2 linked regions of the Rattus norvegicus genome follow. The protein of the gene in region 2 binds, or shares a complex with, the protein of the main gene of each other region. Links are inferred from orthologs where the notes say so. Each region holds a gene or a part of one and is shown on either strand. Other genes may lie near its edges.

What was found. Proteins that work in one complex are often made in the same cells at the same time.
Region 1: the proteins of Xkr8 (region 2) and Bsg are in contact, whole or in part, in a cryo-EM structure (PDB 7DCE), measured with the Homo sapiens proteins. The link is inferred for Rattus norvegicus from reciprocal best matches to the Homo sapiens genes XKR8 and BSG. Residues at the interface, in NP_060523.2 of Homo sapiens: His232, Leu236, Val239, Leu242, Trp243, Leu246, Gln247, Arg280, Gly283, Arg284, Ile287, Phe291, Ser294, Asp295, Leu298, Ala301, Thr302; in NP_001719.2 of Homo sapiens: Trp326, Pro327, Gly330, Ile331, Glu334, Val335, Leu338, Val339, Ile341, Ile342, Phe343, Tyr345, Glu346, Lys350.

What each region holds. Positions count from the first base shown.
Region 1 is NC_086025.1:10,645,522-10,648,028, reverse strand, and holds part of Bsg (basigin isoform 1 precursor), read left to right. Parts: exon of another isoform or gene 1-792; intron 793-938; coding exon 939-1,286; intron 1,287-1,967; coding exon 1,968-2,124; intron 2,125-2,352; coding exon 2,353-2,435; intron 2,436-2,507.
Region 2 is NC_086023.1:150,226,167-150,230,549, forward strand, and holds the start of Xkr8 (XK-related protein 8), read right to left. Parts: upstream 2,860-4,383; 5' UTR 2,134-2,859; coding exon 1,841-2,133; intron 301-1,840; coding exon 104-300; intron 1-103. Other genes in the region: Smpdl3b (acid sphingomyelinase-like phosphodiesterase 3b precursor), read right to left, coding at 2,860-3,225.

The DNA of each region.
Region 1 (2,507 bases), on a different chromosome or scaffold from region 2:
GCTCTGTGTGGAAAGGTCAGCAGGAGATGCCAGGGCAGCCTGCATTCCTGAGACCAGATCATGGGTGGCCTGGCATGTTAGTCTCGTGGTCCTTGGAACATGACGGTGTTGTCCTAGATGTACGACACCCATGGTGTAGTGTCTCTTCAGAAACCCCACTGGAGTTGGGGCTGCCCTGTACCTGTATTTGCTGACAGCCCTAGATGAAGTGGTGTTGATTCAGACGTCCTGTAGCAGTAGACAGAGAAGGGGACTGAGGGAAGGGCGCTGCTGTGACCTTCTCCTGACAGCCTACCACCAGCCAGGAACTGCAGGTTGGGCAGTCTGGAAGATCTCGAATGTAGGTTACCAGGAAACCATTCTCTACCGAAGCAGCTGTGTCATTCAGACCCCTGAAGCTTTGGGGCAAGTGCTTACCTCAGCCCCCACCCCCAATGCAGGGCCTGAGGCCCTAAACTTAATACTTGTACCTTCAGATAACAACCACGCCTTGTGTAGGCATGCAAAGACCTGCCCTCCCCTGGGACATGTGTTTGGGGCAGGCATACAAGTCTGAGTGTCCCAGGCCCTTATGTAATGCTGAAGGCCCTATTTTAATTTGTCATGTAGCCCATCTGGCTGGAACTCATAGCAATCCTCCTGCATGCATAGGCCTCCTGAGTGGTGGAATTATAGGCGAGCTGCCATGGCGCCCACTGTATTTTCTAGACACACTTAGTGTATGCGTGCGTACATTAGCTGTGCACAGGTCCTTCACCACATGGGTCTTGGGTTGAACTGGCTTGGTGGTCAACATTTTTACCCAGCCCTTTGTGTTTTTTGTGCCTAACTTCATACTTCTCCCTGCAAGCAGAAAAGAAATGGAGTTCGTTGTGTTGTGTTGGTGCCTGTGGCAGGCCCTAGCAGTTGTAGTAATGGGTGCTAACCCTTTCCTGTAGCTGGCTTTCTCAAGGCGCCAATGTCCCAGGAGCAGTGGGCGGGGGGCAGCGTGGTCCTGCACTGTGAGGCTGTGGGCAGCCCCATGCCGGAGATCCAGTGGTGGTTTGAAGGGAATGAACCAAACGACAGCTGCTCCCAGCTCTGGGATGGCGCCCGGCTGGACCGTGTTCACATCCATGCCACCTACCGCCAGCATGCAGCCAGCACGCTGTCTGTTGATGGGCTCGCCGCAGAGGACACAGGCACTTATGAATGCCGGGCCAGCAGTGACCCTGACCGCAACCACCTGACCCGGCCACCCAGGGTCAAGTGGGTTCGTGCCCAGGCGAGCGTGGTGGTCCTTGAACGTGAGTGGCCAGGGCACCTGTCTCTGTTTACCTCTCGTGCCATCCAACCCTGGCTCCCACTCTGTAGAACCAGATGCTGCTCTGCCCTTCATTGAGACTCACCTGGGGACATGGGTGGGCTGGGCACTCGTCTCGGTCACTTTGCTGGGTGCAGGCTGGCCCTGCCCTCTTGTAGGTGGTTCCTCGGCTCCTATCCCAGGCCTTTGGTCCGCTGTCTTCCGCCCTGACCTCCCACCTTGTTCGGCTCTGTGCACCTGCTGTCCTGGCTCATAGCCTCCCCAGTGTTTGTCTGGTGGGGTTGGGGTCTGCTGCCCAAGTGACTGTCTACTGCAAATGAAAATTCCAGCCAGCCTCCCCGGAGCTTTCTGGGGGTTTCGTTTCCAGTTCTGAGTAATGGTCAAACACCAGTGAAGGGAACATGAGCCATCCGTGTGGCTTTAACATGTGGGGAAGTGCGGATGGTGCTCCCCCTGAACCACGGAGCTATGAGGAGCTATGAGCAGCAGGCAGGCCTTGGGCAGCTGGGTCTCCTACCTTGGAAGCTGACTCATAGTGGGTCATCAGCTTGCCTTAGAGGTCTGGGGCTGTAGATTGTCAGCTGCTATGATTCCAAAAGCAGACCGCGTGGGGGTGTGGGGCCGACAGCTGGGCTAAGATGGCTCTTTCTCCCTGTGGCCGCAGCGGGCACCATCGTAACCTCTGTCCAGGAAGTTGACTCCAAGACACAGCTTACCTGCTTTTTGAACAGCAGTGGCATTGACATCGTTGGCCACCGCTGGATGAGAGGTGGCAAGGTACTGCAGGAAGACACGCTGCCCGATCTACAGATGAAGTACACGTGAGTTCGTGGTACTCAGGGCCTGATGTCTGGAACTGCCTCTGGCCTGATTTGTGGCTGTGCCAGGCTCCCCACAGCTCTAGATTGGCTGCGTGGCCTACCTGTAGAGCATGAGAGCGCCCAAGGCTCTGTCTGCCTGTGGTCTGCACAGAGAGCCAGCCTCGGTGGGGAGGTGGCCAGCATAGCATGCCTTGTGAGCTCCTTACCTTACCATTCTGTTCCCTGCAGGGTGGATGCAGATGACCGCTCTGGAGAATATTCCTGCATCTTCCTTCCTGAGCCTGTGGGCAGAGGCAACATCAATGTGGAGGGTAATGGGGGTGGGGCGGAGGTGGTTGTAGTGAAGGCCAGGGGCAGGTGTTGGAGCTGAGAGCAGTCTACGT
Region 2 (4,383 bases):
GCCTAACGCTTAGTCACCCTCTTTTTCTCCTGTGCCCCAAGAGTGAGAACAGCACCGAGAAGAGAAGCAGCAGCAAAAGCGACAGCCCGGGCCCAGCACTCACACTGGTAGTATTCGGCATTTCCACTCTGCAACACGATGGCCAGCACCAGCGTGAGCTGTGGGGTCGCCTCCAAGAAGCTCTCAAAAAGCCGCAGCATGCTGATGTCCAGGGAGAGGAAGTCAGCATAGGCCAGGTCACATTCAGACGGTACCTCCTGGCAGCACATGGACAGTCCCTGCCGCATTCCGTGCAGGCACCTAGGCAGAGCACACAGATGCCCAGTGGACCAGGTCAGCGTTCTGTGAAGTCTTCCCTCTCCTACAGCTGAGTGCATGGAGGCCGACCTCAATCCTAACTTGTCACCTAAAAGCTACGGAACCTGAAGCAAGCCACCCAGCTTACCTCCTGGAACTGTTTCTCCATCCACAAAGTGAGGGAAATTCAACTTCTACTCTTGCTGGTCAGCCATGACGCCAGAGCATCAGCACCCTGCCCTACCTACTCACAAGAGCCCCATTTTAGAGATGGGAGATGGAATTAAGAAGCAAACAGGAGGGCTGGAGAGATGGCTCAGTGGTTAAGAGCACTGACTGCTCTTCCAGAGGTCCTGAGTTCAATTCCCAGCAACACGTAATGGGATCCGATGCCTTCTTCTGGTGAGTCTGAAGACAGCTACAGTGTACTCATATACAAAATAAATAAAAAGAAGAAGAAGAAGAAGAAGAAGAAGAAGAAGAAGAAGAAGAAGAAGAAGAAGAAGAAGAAGAAGAAGAAGAAGAAGCAGCAGCAGCAGCAGCAGCAGCAGCAGCAGCAGCAGCAGCAGCAGCAGCAAACAGGAGAGGCCTGAGAGAGACAGCTTAGCTGTTAATCGCATCCACTGCTCTTTTTTTTTTTAAAGATTTATTTATTATATATGTACACTGTAGCTGTCTTCAGATACACCAGAGGAGGGCATCAGATCTCATTACAGATGGTTGTGAGCCACCATGTGGCTGCTGGAATTTGAACTCAGGGCCTCTGGAAGAGCAGTCAGTGCTCTTAACCACTGAGCCATCTCTCCAGCCCACATCCACTGCTCTTACAGAGGTGCCTCACCTCTAACTCCAAGGGACCCGACACTTTCTCCTCTTGGGGCCTACCTATAATAACCGCCCTTCACAGTCACCTGAGCTGTACTCATGATACAATTGTTCAGGCAAAATGCAAATATTCAAAGGTCCCTTCCCACAGCTAAAGACTCTAGGCAGCTTTGCCAAGATCTGAGACTTGCACAAGATATCCCGGATCCATCCACCCCACTTTACCCAATCCCATCCCTCCTCAGGAAGCCCTGCCTTCATCACATGATTCTGACCCCTTGATTTCACTTTCTCCCATCTAACAACCCAAGGGCCTACTCACAGTGAGGTGGACGGGGACGGGGGGGGGGGGGGGGGGGGCAGGGAGGGGAGGGGCCGGGGACTTTCTCACTGTCCTTACTTCAGACTGAACCTGGGTTCTATCCAGTTCAGAAAAGTACACATTTCACACACATCTTCCAAGAACCAGTCTATCTGTGTCCAGTCCTGACTGGCTCCAGGAACACAGATGAGCCAAGCAGAACCCTCCCATCTTCAGTCCTTGATGGGAAAGCAAATGTTCGCAGAAAAAATAAATGAAAAAGAAAGGGGAGGGGCATCTCTAACTCCAAGACCCCGATGTTCCCTTCCTCTTTCCTGAACCTGTGTTTCACCTACGCCCAGGGGAAAACTGAACTGGCTCTGTCAACCCACTTTTCTCAACCGACCGGGCACTCACCTATACAGGTAGCCGAGCTGCAGCAGGTGCAGCAGAGCCAGGAAACGACGCGAGGGCTGCAACTGGTGCAGCTCGGTGGGGTCAGCTGTCAGCCAGAGCCAGCTGAAGAGCTGCAGCAGCACCGAGGCTTGGCCCAGCAGCACCACTACCAGCGCGGCCCACAGGTAACGGCCAACGAGCACGTACTGGACGACGGCCCACAGGTCGGCGACCAGGTCCAACAGGAAAGACAAGGTACTCACCAGACCTATGACCACGTCTAAGGCCACTTGGGGGTGCACGGACAGAGGCATGGCCCTCCAGGCAACCTCACAACCGCGGATCTGCCCTCCAGCCCGGCTAGTCCGGCAGGAAGGGGGTGGGGCAGTCCTCCCAGAGGCCGGGCTGCTGGGCGGAACTTCCCCATCTCGCCCCGTCCGGGGAGGAGCGAGTCCACGACTCCGCCCCCTAGGCGGTCCCACCGCCCAGACCCCGCCCCCAGCCCTCCCTGTCTTGAGCCCTGCCTCTACTGGTTTGGATTCTGCCTTTTGAGGCTCTAGTTAACAAGAGTGGCCACAAGACTAGTGTCTGGGTCGCAGCTGTGATCCCTCACGGTTGCACTGTTGCGAAACCAAATCAGAAAAGTCTTTTATTTAAAAGTACCAAGGGATTTTGCAGACCACGTGGGTTCCCAGTTTTAGACCTTGAGCAGGGACTCAAAAGCACAGACTCTCCAGGGCCCATCTTCCTGCGGGTTCACTTTACTGTGGCGATCAAGTGCATGATAGTTTGATGTTTGTATTAAAGGGAATAATGCACCAAGACATGTACCGCAAACAAGCTCTGTGGATAAAACATAAAACTCAGAAGAAATGTGCTTCTTAGCGCCCTCTCTGGTGAATCCAAATGTCCCATCCCACCTTACTCTCCACAGACTGATGGCAAAATTCATCTCCCTCTCTCTCCATTGGGTAATGTTGCCCAGTTTTACCAGGGAGAAAGACGAACCAAGTAAGAGGGTAGGCTGGCAGTGCCTACAGTCATAGCACCTCCAATACGTGTAGGCTCGTCAGCAGAGTCAGTATGAGCAGGAAACCAGGTACCAGGTTGGCACCAAGACCATGCAAGCAGGTGGCGTAAGTGTCGAACTCCACGTGCTGTATGGCGCACACATGCTCCCTTCGGCAGACGTCCTCACAGGGCTGATGGCTGTAGCTGACCGAGTTGTAGACGTAATAACGTTGCAGGATGTGCTGCTCACTGGCGATGCGGGTCAGTGCTGTATACATAGAACTGGTGCTGGCGTCCTGCACCTCGTAGGCCTCTGTCAGGCGGTATTCCTGCTCCCACTGCGGGGTCTCTTGTGTATCCGCCTGCCTCAGGTTCAAGTAGTAAGTCACCATGTCCTGGATTAGAGGCCCAGGGCATGTCAGCAATGAGCAGTTGATTAGTTCTGCCTACAACCCAACCTGTCCCCAGGCTCTCTAGATCAATCAGACAGCTGCTCTTTTCACCCTGGGCTTGGTTCTGACGAGGCAACTGCATCTGAACCCCCATTCTCCTGGTGAGGACATGAACCTGAAGTGACCCCCCACAGGCTCATTTTGAAGATTTGTTCCCCAACCGGTAGCACTATTTTGGTTGGCTATTGAACTTTTAGGTGGATGCCAGCTGGCAAAAGGAAACCTTTGAAGCTGGTTCTGGACCCTGCTCAACGGCGATGCCAGGGGTCCCTGATACATGCCACGTGATTCGCCACCATTAACTGCCCTGCCTTCCCCACCAGAATGGAGTGAAATGCCCTAAAAACCGTGATGTTGGTACTGCAATCACAGCATTGCAAATGTAGTTACCTTCTCAGGTAACACACACACCATGCACACACATACACACACATACACACTCACACACACATACACATACACACACATACATACACACATACACACACACTCACACACACACACTCACACACACACACTCACACACACACACACACACACACTCACACACACACACACACACAGTTTTTTTCTCCTGCAAGCATTCAGGGGCAGGGGCAGGATTAATACTTCCTTCCCAAGGGCACCTCTGCGAAACTCCGAGGGACCTCGTTTAGTTCACTCCCCCAACCCATTCCCATCCCCCAGACCAAGCAGGGCATCGTGGCTCATAGCTGTAATCCCGGCACTCAGGAAACTGAGGCAGAGAGGATGTATCAGGACTGGAGAGATGGCTCAGCGGTTAAGAGCACTGACTGCTCTTCCAGAGGTCCTGAGTTCAATTCCCAGCAACCACATGCTCACTCAGTTGACACAGAACTCAAATGCCTCCTTCCTGAGGGCATTTCCCTTGTCCCACCTAGTAACACATCTCACACACTACAAAAATCACCAGCCTCTTCCTTCCTTCCCTCCCTGCAGCCCCAACCCCCCACCTCACCCCCACCCCACCCCACCTTCTGAGACAGGGTCCTCTCGCTAAGTTCCTGTCTGGTCTTGAACTCACTATGTGGTCCAGGCTGGTTTTAAATTTCAGTCTGAGACCTCGGCCTCCCAAGTGCC